Linked DNA regions of Struthio camelus. The protein of the gene in region 1 interacts with the protein of each later gene in a pairwise test. Links are inferred from orthologs where the notes say so. Each region holds a gene or a part of one and is shown on either strand. Other genes may lie near its edges.

Region 1 (7,752 bases):
GCGTATCTATCCTTAAAAGTTCTCAGTGAGTAGCACATAGGATGACAGAAAGGACATGACTTAAATGAGGACATTTAGGATCAAATCTTGCAGCCCTTTCCTGTCATTTCAAAGGACATGTTCATCTTTGCATAGACTTGAAACTGAATTGCTTTGTAATATCCAAAAAGATGAGTTGGAAAAATTAGAAAGTAAAATTTGAAACACCTTTGACAACAGATACAGCTCTTCCTTAAAAAAAAGAAAAAATTAAAAAATAAAAGGTCCTCTCAGAGGGAGACAGGAAAAACAAAGGAAATGGACCTGTAAAAGGATTAGTTATTTATTTTTAATTGGCACACCATAAATTAGGAAAACAAATTGGTTCCATTCAGTGACTTCCAAAATTACCTAAGAAGCCTGCAGTTTACTAGCACTTACCCTTAGATGTTATTATTGCTAATTGCTGTGTTATGACTACAAAATACTGGCATAAATCTCACTCAGTACTTCTTAGGGTTTCTGTGGGCAGAGTATTCACATGCTCCCCTCCGACCTCGTGCTCCTTATTATTTGCTGTGCACGCCTGTGTGCAACTCATCACCAACTGAACCAACCCAAACACCAGCTGAATTCAGCTGGTCTAGATTTTGATATGCTTTATGACATACCATGGGCCTACCCTGTTTTGTATTTACCTTCCATTCTAGATATTTTTAGAAGCCGATTAGAAAGTTTCTCTTGTAATGAGCTATGGCCAAACACACTACCTTTGATACAAACGCCATGAGGAGCGCGGTCCAGGTAGTAACATATGAGTTGATTCCCACCCATGTCAACCTTTCTCCAAAGGAGATAACAAATACGAATTTAGCAGCAAACATTGCCTAAACAGACAAACGCTTCCTCCCAAAACCTAATATATACAGCTGGGATGCAGCTGTTACTACTACAGCAGCGCGGGCAGCAACTGCTGCCAGGGGAAAGGCAGCAGCTCACACACAAGGAAGGGGCAACCCACCCAGAAGGACTGTCCCACAACCCAGATGGGGCCACTGCAACTGCCAAAGCTGGACCACCTCGGTTGGAAAGTATTTTTTGGAAGTGTACCCTCATGGAGGGTTCAGCTAGAATTTGCTTCCTGAAAATCTAGAAATAACGTATCTTAAGCGTTTTATGCGTTACGCAGATGTTAGCACGGAGAACTACAAGGCCTGGGTCAAAGCCAGTTAATCCAAAGGCCTGTCCTGGGTAAACAGTGAAAACCCACTCTATTTCAGAGCCTTCTTCAGAAACCCCTACAGGAAGTCTCTGCTTTCTCCTTTCCTCTGAACCAATTGTGCCAAGCAAGGTTAAATGAGAATCTTGTAGTAAGCATATGTGTAAAATAGTAAGTTTTTGTTGGAAAAATATTTGGAACACAACTGGGAGCTGCGAACACGCTATAGCTAACTTAGCTAAGTTTGGACTGCACAGCGACTTTAAGGAACTTTTTTTTTTTTTTTTTAAATAAACCTTTAGTGGTGAAAAAGAGGCCAGAATGATACTTCTGGAAATTGAAACTGTCTTCTTATTTACAGGATGGGTAAAAAACACAGGCAGTGTTAGCGTTTGTTGCTCCCATACCTCTGCTCCCGCTAACTTACTTCACCTTGGTTCTAACGTTCAAAACTAAAAAGAATCACATCTCCTTGGACCTCCCCTTCATCCCCCTACAGAGTTTGCGCCCACGCATCTTTTAATTTCAAAAGAGAAACCAACAAGTTGCTCACCTCCCAGCATTAGTCCTACAGGTATTTCATTACTGCAGCTCTTGCTCTCCACATGTAATGAATTACACCTTTGCAGAACTTAAAGCAGTTTTAGCTGATAAGATGCACAGGCTAAGAATCCACTTGTTTTCTTTGCTTACATGTAAATAGAAAGTAGCATACAAATAATCACAGAGGGGTTTTCAACCTCCCCTGCTTACTCAGCCCTTGATCTCTAACAAAACTACCCAAAAAGGGCTGGCTGTGCTGGTAAATCCTGCAGCGGGTATTCATGCCTAGAGGATAATAAGCTAAGGTCACCAGCAAGTAACAAGTTTAGTCTCCACCATTCTGTACCAAACTTGAAAAAATGAGAGGACTGAGTGAGTTGGCCCACAGCCAGCCATTCACTACTCCTGTATATGAGGACCTGACTGTCGGGAAAGTAAGAGCAAACCTGCTTTGGACCTTATAGCAAGGTACACATTCTATTCCACATCGAGGTGGCAGCAAGATTTGAAACAGACTATTGTGCTTTTTTTAGACTGAATTACTCAGGCTCCCTTCCTGACCTCCAAATGTGTTAAAAATGTGTTTCCCCTAAGTTAGCTTCACTGGGCCAGATCTCCCAAGCACCTTTTTAGCCCTTCAAACACATGCATGGGACTTAAAGACTACCCTTATGTAGCCAGGTTTAGATTATCGGTTGCTTACAGTGGCTACCTTAAATACCCATGCAATTTTTTCCAGATGTTGCTTAAGGTCTGTTTACTGTACGTTGAGTTCTATTTACTGTACATGCTGGATTCTCTCTGTGGTTGTGTTAGGAAAGCAGACTCATGTTATACATGTTCTCCATGTAGAGTACACAGTCCAAGGTTTTAGGAATCATTCCAGTTAAAGAGTCATCATGATTAAAAAGCAAAATAAAAATCATTGCTACATGCATCATAACCACGATACATAATAATAATTTCTTTAGTAGCATAAAACAGACAGTTGACAGTAAGAAATATTTACATGAGTGTGCATTTTGGAGATATTCAAAGAATTAGATAAGCTTAAGCACAGAGTAGTCAACTTTGAAAGACTAGACTATAGCCACCTGAAATATCATTTCAAATGATATTTGCACTGTTGACACTACCAATAAAATTTTAAAAGTAGATGCAGTACAGACAATAAGTGAAGAAGATGCAGTACAGACCATAAGTGAAGAAATTCCCATGCGCTGACTTAGTAACGCATCTCATCATCGACATATCCCAAAGAGAGAGACAAGGCTTCCATTCCTGGCCACATTCTGTTCAGTTTTCTCTCCTATTATTCTCACTGCTAAAAAAGTCACAGCTGCTTTCTGTCAGGACACCCACTGTTCGTAAGCCACCCCAAGGAAGGGACAGCATACAGCAGGCACTGTAAACTCATCCCAAGGTACATCATTGAGGCTGTTCTCCAGCGAAGCATAGGACTGACCTCAGTTTCCCTTGGGGTAAAGCCAAAGTGCCTTGCCATCTCCACGGGCTTACGCTGGGTGGCTTATGAGTATTTCTTAGCCTGAGGTGATTAGTTACTCCATGTTATTTTTTTAAAGAAGTGAAGACAAGGCATAAACTTGCCAAAGAGCGAACTTGTTCCTGTCACAAAGTTTCCGCAGCAACCTACACGGAGATGATTAATCCACCCTCCACAGGCCAAGCAGCTTCTACATGGTGACATTACTTTGGGTCATTACAAAACTCTGTAGGATTTTGGCAATGGCAAGTTGCATCGTGCTGGGTTACCCAGGTCCCACAGCACTCCCTAATTCCAAATTTGTACAAACCAGCGGGTTCGTTGAGCCTGACCGCGTGACCCCACCTCTGTTTCTTGCACAAGGATTTCCAGGGCAGAACTGCAAACAGTCTGCCCTTCCTGCACCTCCTTGCGATCTGGTATCTACAATTTACGTAGGATTCAAAGGTTGCAGATCAGCTAGAGCACTGCAAGCCTACTCTGCAACCAGCCCCGAGCCATCCCATCTCCATATAACAGTTCATACCGCAAACTAACAACCCATACATCAGCTTTTAACAGAAGCATTATTTTATTAAGAAGCTGCTGAACTGCACATAATGGGTATGATGTGAACATATAAATCTATCTGCTTTTTCAATAAGCATCAGTTAAAACTCATATTTTAATAACCCGCTCCTTTTCCTTGAGATAGCTGCAAAAAACAATATAGTTATAAATTTTGAAAGGAAATAGAACATTCCTTTCAGTGTTTTCCCCAAGAGTAAAATACTGCAGTGTTTAACAGTAAACACGAAACTAAGGTTTCTGTTTACTTAAAAACAAATGTTCCCCTTGAAGTTAAAAAAGGCTAGGATAAATACTGCTAGTGGTTGTAGGAAGGGCTTATTAACTTTCCTTTAAAGCTATATTAGGAATCAAACATGAAAATGAGTAATGATTAAAAAAATGACAATTTTTTTAATTATTAAAAACTGCCTATAAGCTGGAAATTCAGCCTGCGATGTCAGCCTGCATCTGACTTTTGCTACCATATATCCCAGAAACAGTGTATAACAGTAACGCTACCAAGTAAACATACCAACAGGCTTTTAATTTCAAACCTCAGCTGAAAACATTTCTCCCATTCTTACAGTTTTTCTCCCCATTTATCTCTGCAATTGTATTTAATTCTATGGAGCACTTAATTCAGTGGCGCATTTTGCAATACAATTTGTCTGAATGATGCTATAGAGAGTAAAGGTTGTATTGTACTATATAATGAAACTACGTCTATGCTTGAACAAACTCCAACTGCTGTTCATCAAACTAGCAAGTTCCCGAACGATCTTTTTAACTCAGGACTAATGACAATGGATTATTTTAAACAGCTGTCCTACCCTAAAATATGATTATTAAGTTGACACAGGCTCACAAAGATTGTGACAGACTTTCAAAGCTAAGTTGATTAGTTTTCAAGTAAAACATTATGGTTTGCTGGCACTACAAACTCAGCACCTGAACCGAAACTTAAACTGTAGTTTCGAATTCTGTTTGTTTTTCAATTAAACCACATAGCACCTGAGAAGCCTAATGTAAATCTGGACCTGCAAATTTTCCTCCTTTGGATTTAGTCACCAATCACTGTTTATGCACTAGTTTCCAAAGCTAACAGGTGTATGGATTGGTAAAATATATTTTTTAGTTGGTGACAGAACACTGTTTTGAACTGACACAGAGGACTGTTTGGATTGGTAAGAAGGAGACATTTTTACGTAAGTAACTTAGAATAGCATGCTGCAACCTTTGAGATTCAAATGGTAAACCTTCCAAAGCTAAACAAAAATATTTTTAAAAGTAAATAATTAGGCCTTGGGAAGAACATTCTGAAGACCAGAATGAAGAGGTCTAAGAGGATCCTCAGTATCCAGTTTGGCAGCCCTTAGAAACACTAGCACTGGAATAAACTTGAGGGTTTCATAATCTCAGCGGTTCCAGGAATTTTTAAAAGAGCCTGCACTACAAGAAACAGTACTTCTGCATTAAGCCATCTAGTCTATCAGAAACCAGTGCTGGATAGTTTCCGGTGTACATTTTGCAACATTATATTTGGCACAAAGGAAGGATTAAAAAAAAAAAAAAACTTAAGCAAAATGAGAGCAAAGCAGTTTTGTGGGTTGTTTTTTTTTTTTTCCGCTGACTACCTCCTGCCTTTAGGTTATCAGTTCAAGCCTGATATAGACCCACTGCCAAGAGCCACTCAAATGAAACAGAGCAGTGACAATGAACGCTAGTCCTGATGCGAGGCCGTCCGGGAAGGGGTTTGCACACAGCCAGGATAACACTTTACTCAGCGACCAGGATCGCCCCTCTCCACCTCCAGCAGGGCTTACAGCTACCCCAGGGGGAAGCTAAGAGCTTGAAGCCTTTCGCTGAGACCTTTCCAGTCCACGTGGGACGGAGACAGGAAATGAACGCGCTGGGTGCTTGCCCCAAACCTCAGCAGCACTATCCCGAGCGATCATTCCTGTCCGCTCGTTGCGACCCAAAAAGCGGAGCGGGGTGGGGGGAGAGCAGGGGCTGGGGCAGCAGACGCACAGCCACGGCGCAGCGGGGAGGGGGCCGCTCGGGGCGCAGCTCCGCGGCGCAAGCCACCTGCCCCAGGAGCCGGTCCCTGCCTGGCGACGGGATGGGGGCCGCTCGGGGGCCCTGATGGGCACCGGCCCGGCCAGGGACGGGCTGAGGGAAGCGGGGGTCGCCCTGCGCGAGGCGGGAGTCCGGGGAGGGGAGGGGGGGGCTGGGGGGGGGGGGTAGGGGAAGAGGCAGCGGAGCGGGCGGGCGCTGCGTCCCAGGAGCTGCCCTCGCCGGCCGGCAGAAGGGGAAGCGCCCCGGGAACCCCGGCTACCTCCGCCGGGGAGGCTCCCGTCGCGCTCAGCCCGGCCGCGCCGACGGGGAGACCCGGCTGCGCTGCGCTGCCCTCCTCGGGGCGCGTGTGTCTGAGGGGAGCGGGGGGGGGGGCTCCCCTGCGCGCGCGCGCCCCCCCCCCAACGGTCCCCTCCCGCCCCAACGGTCCCCTCCGCGCGCCCGGCGCACGCGCAGCCGCACGCACGCGCGCGCGCTGCCCGCGCGCGCGCTGCCCCCGCGCGCCCGGGCCGCTCTCACCTCCTCCTGCGGCGCTCGGAAGAAGCACCCCGCACCACTGCCGCAGCGCCGAAGCGGCCGCACTGCGCAGGCGCGCCGCGCGCCCCGCCCCTTTCACACACACTCGCGCGCGCACGCGGGCGCGCGCGCTCCCTCTCCCTCCCTCCCTCCCGCCCCGCCGGCGGCAGGGACCGGGGAGAGTGTGCGAGCCCGGCGCGGAGCCGCAGAGGGGCCGCGGCCAGGGAGCGGGGGCAAAGTGCCGTCCCTCGGCGGAGGCGCACAGACCTCCCCCCCCCGCTCCGGCTGCAGCGTTTCTCTGGCCAAAATTTCCGCGGCTGCACCCCAGGCCCTGCAAACCCGGCCGGCCTGAGCCCACAGGCCTGTGTTAGCCAGCTTCAGCGCTGCTGCACGCCGTGCTTGCTGAAGGAGCCAAACGTTTAACTGAAATGCTGTGATTAAATACTGATTTTCGGGGGCTGCGCTGGTGGCGACGGCGAGGCGAAGCATCGCCAGGCCGGGCAGCATGCGGCCGAGCATCCACGTGTAACAGGAGCCGAAGGCGAGGTGAGCCGGGGACCGCCGCCGGCGCCCGTTCCCAAACGGGCTCGTCCGGGCCGCCCTCTGCTCCCGTTGGCGTGGCCGTGTCCAAACCGGAGCGGAAATCGCTCCGTGCTCCATTCCCAGCTTTCTGCAAATGCCTTCTTCTTTGTTGCATGTGTGTTAGGCACTTCTCTGATTTTGCTGAGTTTTGCTCTGATTTTGCTGATGTGCTGCCATGAGTCCTGGGTCCAAAAATCTTCTCTCCCCGCCTCGCCCACCCTGTCCCTCTGGAAGGGGGTCAGACCTGCTGTGCTGTGGGAAATCGGGCAGCAGCCGCGCCGGAGACGCTTGGGATCTGCCTTCACCCCTCCGCTCCCCTCTCGCGTGACTGCTGCGGTGAAGCCAGGTGGGGAAACGTCTACCTGCAGCATCAGTTTAATGGACTGTGCTGGAAACCGTGCGAGATGCGCGCATCCCATTTGCAGTGTGTGCACAGCGGAAAGGACAGCGTTTTCCTTTTAATCGCAAGCCCGGGCAGAACGCAGCTGGTGAGATAAATTGTTTAACAAGCCCCGTCAGCAGGTGGCTGCTGTGCAAAGCGGATCACAAAGACTTAAAGCGTCCTCCTGCTGCTTCACAGCCAAGACCTGGTTTTGGAAGCAGTTGGGAGGTCTGCAACGGCCCTGGGTAATTTAATCCCTCCTACAAGCCACCAGGTTTCAGCAGTGTGCACTTCCTAGCTGTGGGACTGATTTTCTTTGTTTTTCTGTCTGATGTTGGGCCTGATGAAGATCACCTTGACGCCATACGTGTGGGTCCCAACGCAGACCGCTGTGTTGCTCAGAGG
Region 2 (7,482 bases), on another chromosome or scaffold:
GAACACAATTACATTCCTCTGACATCCTGCATGATGCTGAGTACTTTGCTAGTACTCGATAAGAAAACATCTTTTGCTAGAGAAATATTGGCAAAGGAGCTGAAGTAGTCTGGTACAGTCCCAAGCTATCACCTCCTACTGTGTTCTAAGCAGTACTGACTACTGCACCGTTATTCTGGTTAACAGCCATTAAATCATGATTCCAATGCATCTGATGCCCAGCAACATCATATTGTTCTGCACCTATCCCCATTTACTCTTCAGCACTTTCTGGGACTCAGTATGACTCGACCGTACCCTGTATACCTTGTGCTCTTTTCTCTATCCTATCCCCTCCTTTGGGAGGTAGCACAGAGATGTGTCCAGAGATGGACAGTTCTGTACCCTAAAAGAAGAGCTTCCTCCCCTGTTGTGCTAAGAACGCTCTTTTTTCTCCTCTACAGAGTGGAGGTGCAAAACTGTCACAAATGTTGGTCAACTCAAAAGGGTCTGCAGATCTTAAAATAAGGTGCTTTGTTGTGGTGGGAGAAGAGGAACCAGCTCCCCATCACAGCAGAGCATCTGCACGATAAAACTCACTGATCTGAGAAGAATCCTGCCCAGAAAGTTTCCTCCCATTCCTCCCTCTACAAGGAGTTACAGTATCCTTCATTAAACATAAATTCTACCTGTGTGTAAAGGCCCAAAGAAGTGGTCTGGGAAAATATAAACAATCCTGCAACGAGCAATCATTGCAATTTGAGCAGGGGCAGGAAGAATCCTCATCCACCCTTTATCACCCTGATAATCATGGGATAAGGGACCTGTTCTTGCTGTGACTGTGCTCAGGACACACCTCAGCATCATTCAAAACATTCTGTTCAGGAGAGCTGCCCAGACCTGAGAAACAGACTGATATGACCACCATATGTTGGAGCAAGAAGGCATTTACATCTTCAAATGCCAGCTGGGAGTCCTGCCAGAAAAAAAAAAAAGAGAAATGGCCTGCAGGGTCAGGAGCCCTGCCAGCTAGGACTCTTCCACATTCGCATTGCAGCTATCCTCTTTTAAAAAAGTCAGCAGTGGACACCTGTAGGGTCTGCTGGTCCTTGCACCAGCAAGCCTTTCCCTTGCACTAGCTCTGGCATGAGCACCACCTTGATACTATTAAAAACAGGAAAACGCATGGATATTAAAACATAAACAATTATCAGGAATAACAGCATCACTGTTAAAGGGGGAGTGATGAAAATAATTTTAACTTTTAACTTTAGATTAATCTGCTGGTTAGGACTGGGAAAGAAATAATCAAGTGAATTGATGCCTATACAGCTTGCTTAGCTTAAAAGCTCTGGTCTGGAAGAGAGTGCTGAACCCTACTCTTATGCAAATATCTGATTAGGGAAGTTCTTCCTCTCTAGTCCAGCAACTGCCTCTTTTCAAGTAAAACTGAGGAGTGAACTGTTCTAGTATCAGGCCCTAAAACACAGGGTCAAGACTCAGCAACTACTCATTTCTCTGTAACCAATCCTGGGTCAGCCTCTGAGACTTCAGCTGCCAGGTTGTTGCAGCATGAGGATGCAAAGACTTGGAAATATTTCAAATTCTGTGTTCCATTAGTGAGCAGAAAAGTTTAATATAAATTATGTCTCAGGAAACAGGCTTCTTTGCAAACTAAAAGCAAAATCTAGCACACTGAAGCCTGTCTCTCCCCATGACTAAAAGAACTGGCAGGTCAGCTGCACGGCAGATTGTCTGAGGCACTAACTTCAGCCCTAACCTTATAAGCACTTCCGTGCAATAGCCATCTTTTAATGAGCTGTGCCTCAGGGTTGCCTGGCCAGATGACAAACAGGTCACAAACTCCCAGGCTGCGGTGCTGAGGCTTCCTTCCCTTTGGTCACTGCGGGTGGAAAAGGACCAGCAACAGGGCTCTGGATCACACCTCACTCTTTCAGAGCAAGGTGCAGAAAGGCAGCAGAACAGGCCTGCTTGGGAGGGGGACGCCAAACCGGGGGCAAACGGAAGGGGGAGGTGGGGAAGGGGGGAGGAAGAAAAAGACAACTTAGTCCCGGATCTGACTATTATCTGCCTTCTCCTGTCTCCCTTTAACCTGCTGGTGCCCTTCCCCACCTGCTGCCCCACAGCGAGAGCCCCCTGCACCCTGCACAGGGCTGACAGGGCGGCATCCAAGGCTCGACCCCGCCGGCTTCCAGGCATCCACCGTGCAGCAGCAGGTCCGCAGAGCCAGCAGCTCCCTTAATAAGGCCAAGCAACTCCCCCTTCCCCCCGAGGAAACTCTGGAGGAAAACACGGAGTGACCTAAGTTGTGCAGTAGAGGGTGAGGGTGGAGGGGGTGGGGGGGAATTAAAAAAGAAAAAAAAGACAAAAAAAAAAAAAGATAAAAAAGAAAAGGCCCCTAGGAAAACGCACCTTTCCACAGGCTGTCTGTCCCAGGTGGCTGCGGCAGGCGCGCAGCGCCAGCGAGCGGGCGGGCAGCCGGCCGCAGACAGCCCCCCCGGCGCTGCCGGCCGCGGCCGGGCCGGCCCCGCCGCCTGCCGAGGACCGGGCCGGCGGCCTCCCCGCACGGCCGGCGGCAACCAAGCTCGCCCGCGGCGGGCAGCGGCCCGGCGGCGGGGAGCGGGGGCGGCGCCTCCACAGGTGCCCCACGCCGCCCCGCCCCGCGCAGGCGGTGGCATATCCGTTTGGGCCGAGCAGGAGCGGAGCGGGGCCCGGGAGAGCGCCGCTGTCCCGGCGGCAAGTTTTGTGCTGCGCCAGGTGGCGAAGGGGAGAGGCGGCGCGACGGCGGCGACGCGCCCACCTCCCCTCCCCTCCACGGGCCGACCGGCCCCCGCCCCGCCGCCGCCGCCCCGCCGCCTTACCTGCCGCCCGCCTCGCCGGGCAGCCAGAACAAGCCACAGCGAAACGCGGTCGCCGCCCGGCGCAAGGAACTCGCGGCGGCGGCGCGGAGCAGCTGCCAAGCCCCGCGCCCGGCCCGGCCCGGCTCTGCCTCGCCCGCCGCCGCCGCCCCACGGCCTCGGCGCCACCCGCGGAGCCGCCGCGGCCGAGCCCGCCCCCTGGCGGGCGCCGGGCAGCGGCCGAAATGGCGGCGGGCGGGGAGCGGGCGGGAGCGCGGCGCCGGGCGGCTCAGGGCCTCGGCCGCAGGCCTTCGGGCTGCGGCCGCCCCGCGCCCCGAGGCGCCCGGGGACAAGAGGTCGGGCATAAACCCCACGCGGCTGGTTGGTCCCACAGCGGGTGACCAAGGCGCCTGGGCGGGGGGAGGTCGCGCCGGCACACGGTACCCGGCAGCCAGGAGGCAACGCGGCGGGTGCGCGTGTAGGTGTGAGGGCCGGTGGCGCGAGGCTGTACGCTTGGGACGCTTGTGTCTGGCGGGGTTGGGTTGGGAGCCCGTGCGGCACCGTGTGGCCCAAGCGGGCCGCGCGTGCCGATTTTCCCTCAGCTTTGGGCATGCAGCAGCCTGCTGGGTTAGAGCAGTTCACTCCGAATGTCTTTTGTTCGTTCTCAGCAGAAGAAAACTCTCTTGGACAACACCTTTTCTTGAAGGCTTTAAAACAAAGTACGTTAAACTTTTCTTCCTTCTCGTCCAGAGGACACGTAGGCATGACAAAGTGAAACAAAATTTTTGTTTCTGAATTTCACAAATTCTGCCGGTCACACACCCTCATCTCCAAAACATCAAGCAGTGCTGTTGGGCTGTCAGGACTGAAGAGGGAGAGTCTAACGTTTGCAGTCCTTAGCAAAGCTGAGTGAAAAACCTATCTCAGTTTAGACAATGAATATAGAACTTTGGTCAGTTATCAGACTTACAAAAATCTCGGACCCCAGAACCTTCTTACAGGGCTCTTTATAAACAACATTTTTTGGATTAGTTTGCACTCCAGAGTAGTTATCATTTTACCCACGCCAGTATAGACTGAAGGCCAGTCTCCTTCCTCAAGGTACTAGGTTACAATAAACAATTGTGTTCACATTGTTTTTTTATATGAGATAAAGGGATTTGGGGTTTATTTTTTCCCTAGGCTGTCTGACATACAGCATTCATATAGCTAAATCCACTTTTGCAGTTACATGGATTTCATTGTCTTGGTAGGAAAAAAAAAAAAAAAAACAACCAACACATTCTCCCAGCTGAATATGTACAGCTTTGCTTCTCCTGCCGACAAAGACTTCAGGGTTTTATTCCTTACATCTGCCCATTTTTTTTCAATGGAAAATACTAGATGGGATTGGCAAAAAGAAGGGGGAAAACAGAGGCACGTACAGCAGAGATCTGTTTCGGTGCCACGTAACTTAATTTAAAACGGTTGCATGTCAAACTTAAAATGGGAAAATGTTAAACCCTACAGAAATGTTTGCTGAGTTTTAGAAATCCTGACAAGAAATTCACCAAGATTGGATGAACAAACCCCAAATCCCCCTATTTTCAAGCAGCGGAAACTCACTAGGGACTGTACAGTTTTTATGAAGAGGCCAGAAAAAAGAATCTGCAAAACTGGAAGTTTTGTTTATCCATGAGAACAGAAACATGTGCTTGTGCAACAGGGCAGGCCATGCTCCAGAAGAATCATTGCTAAGAAGGGGTGGGAAGAGAGCAACCCACCCCACAGATTTGCATGAGATGGTAACAAATCAACAACATTTGTTAAGACTAGTGTTGCATCCTTCCCAGCCTTGAATGACAAAGGAAAACAGCTTCTCTCTTCTTCTTCTCCTTGTACCTTTTCCTCTTCCTTTTCCTCCTCATCTGTAGCTTGGCAAAAGGGCCCAAGTCCTGCTTCTGGCCCTCCATTGGTGGGTGATGCTCCCTTACGGCAGAGGCAAAGCAGAATCTGAATTCAACAGACCTAAGGGAAAGGCTGAATCTGTGGCCTCTTAAGTTAGAGCTGGGCTTAGGAACTAGATGCTACCAAACCAGAAGAAAACATTTGAATGGGGAACCGGGAAGCTACCAGCAGTTTATGACTGAGGGGAGGTACCACGTTGCTGCGGATTATCTGTTCTTTCCAAGGTCATGCTAATAAAGATATTGGAAGCAACCCTTATGCCTTCACAAACACAGCAAGAATAGCCTGAGTGAGAAGTGACCCTTTTTCAAGTTATCCAAGTTTTAGCATAGCAGCCATCAGGTGTTGCTCATAGACCTATCTGAACAAGTAATAATAGGAATACCTTCATAAGATGCGTAAGCAGGTTTCAATCACTAGTAGAACCACTTTTTAGTCCCTGATCAGTTCCCTGCATTCAGCCAGAGATTCAGTCTTTCTTCTTCCCAAGCTTCAGCCTGGTTTGATGTCGGCATTACTTTCTCTATCAATCATCCCATGTCCCTGTGTGGGAATTTGAACACAGTAGAATAAGTTTACAGCAAGTAAAGACCCCTAAAAAGGACCAGGAAAAGAAAGAGGAACTGCTGCACTCAAAAATTATTTTTCTAAAGAGAGATAATTATTTCCTAAGGTATTGGGAAAGACCCATATTAAACATAATATTGGGACAATCCCAGGTCAGAACTCAGCAACTTTGACTCATCTAAAAGACACAGTAAAATAATCTTCAGGCACGTTTTCTGTTAAAAAAAACAGAACTACTTACACAAACTGTAGCCTTCCCCTTGTGCTGATATCCCAAACAGTTTAAAATTTGCATCCTTCTAAACCCTGTGCTGAGTGATATGCTAGAAATGGAGGTTAGGTTGGCAAGATCAGTTTTACTATATACATTCAAGCAGGATAAACAGTGTCTTCGAGCACAGCATCCTCTCTTCTGTGCTCCAGAATTCTGAAAGCATATCCTGTGAGCCTTATCTACAAACTGCCAGCTTTACCTAAAAAGAATTTGGTTTTGGTGACAAACTAGAGCCCAGAAAGGATATAATTCAGTTACAGTTCTTCTCCTGAACTTCAACCTATAACCACTTTGTTCTTTGCTAATCATCACAAATTACTAGAGCTGTTAGCGTACTCCAGCAAGGATGAAAGGTGAAAGGGACAAAAAAAGCGCTCCAAGGGAGAGCTGACCTTCCAAATGGGAAGTGTGTGTGCACTTTCCTTCTATTCAGCTATAGGGTATACTGGAACACGGCCTGACGGCCAGATTTACTACTGCTCTCCAAGGAAATTGTCCCTTTCACCCCTGGGAGAGAAGCCAGAGACCAGGTTTGTGAACCCAATTAATCCATTTACTTCAGCAGAATTTAACCGGGAATTGATTTAGTCGTGTATGCCATATTATTGTTGGCACATACAGCAAAGATGCTGGAGTCAAGGGTCTTTCCTCTCTCTACTACATACCCAAGTAATAAATGAACAGGACTTAAAATTAATTTTTGTCACTACAAGCAAAGTGGAATGCAGTTTAATTCAACCTCAAATTGCTGACGTCTGCTGTTTAGCTTCCAGTGCTGAGAATCCAGAACGAAGAAAGACACAGATGGGGCAGATCACAGTAGTGCTGTGATAATTCTTTTCCAGGTTAACTTCTGACTTCTTTTTTCCTCATTTTCTACCTAAGGGACATATCTGTTGAAGAAGGAGTGCTTAATCTGTAAAGAAAGAACTCCCTGAGAAGGACTGATGTTCTTCCAGATTCTACTCCTGTCAAAAACAGAAGACTTCTGTCTCTCACATAGCAGTGAAGTTGCCCCACAACAAAAGGTCAGTTGTACCTAACAGTTAGGATGGATAACAGTGGACTTACAAGCACTTTTTTTCTTCCTGCCTCACTATGATAGGAGATGATCATGGATATTTGACAAGATTCAGTCAGATTAGATATGACTGGTATCTCTTGACCAAACGATGAATTCTCTTCTACGTGCAAACACAAAAACTGTCCTACGACATTGTGAAATGTGAGAAGGGTGAGATCTCTGACAGATCTCCATGGTGGGCCTTTCAACAGATGATCACATTGTAAGGCCCAAAGTCAGCAGAAGTGTTCCCATAACTCCAGTAGGCTTTGGAACAGCTCCAGCCATGGCTTTCTTCATTGGTGTACTTTGCAGTAAAAGAAAGAAACAGAGCAGTTTCTATGGATATATAAAAATATTGAGAGAGTGAAACTCATGTGTGGGTAAAGCCTAGTCAGAGATTAGCAAAAATGAAACTTGTTTACATCTAATAATAGAGCTTAGTTCAACTCACACTGTGTGAGGTGAAAGGGCATTTTTGTTACAATTTCAACCTGGGTATTGTGTACAGTATTTTCAAGTTTATTTACGTTCCATTAATCGTGATTACTGTCAGCAGCCGGCCAATAAGTACGTGCAGTCAGTGCAACATCCTAAGCCAACCTACAGACCTGTTGGTAATCGGAAGAAAGAACGAAGCATTGCAGTTCCCAGTTTGATTTCACACGTACGAAACTGGAAAGCCACATTAACACCACCCAGATAGCTATTTAAAAATCATGCACAAGCATGCCTAGGGCCTAGCTGTGTTAAAGTAGCTAGTGTAGGCAAAGGAGAAAAGGGCAGTGCTCTTT

What was found.
Region 2: the proteins of NT5C2 (region 1) and MOB3B interact in binary tests that used the Homo sapiens proteins (3 or more experiments, as listed by UniProt). The two-hybrid records come from large-scale screens. The link is inferred for Struthio camelus from reciprocal best matches to the Homo sapiens genes NT5C2 and MOB3B.

What each region holds. Positions count from the first base shown.
Region 1 is NC_090948.1:15,242,946-15,250,697, reverse strand, and holds the start of NT5C2 (cytosolic purine 5'-nucleotidase), read right to left. Parts: upstream 3,008-7,752; 5' UTR 2,993-3,007; coding exon 2,938-2,992; intron 1-2,937. UniProt on the Homo sapiens protein: Broad specificity cytosolic 5'-nucleotidase that catalyzes the dephosphorylation of 6-hydroxypurine nucleoside 5'-monophosphates.
Region 2 is NC_090982.1:4,881,217-4,888,698, reverse strand, and holds the start of MOB3B (MOB kinase activator 3B), read right to left. Parts: upstream 3,006-7,482; 5' UTR 2,862-3,005; intron 2,478-2,861; exon of another isoform or gene 2,413-2,477; intron 1-2,412. UniProt on the Homo sapiens protein: Modulates LATS1 expression in the Hippo signaling pathway which plays a pivotal role in organ size control and tumor suppression by restricting proliferation and promoting apoptosis.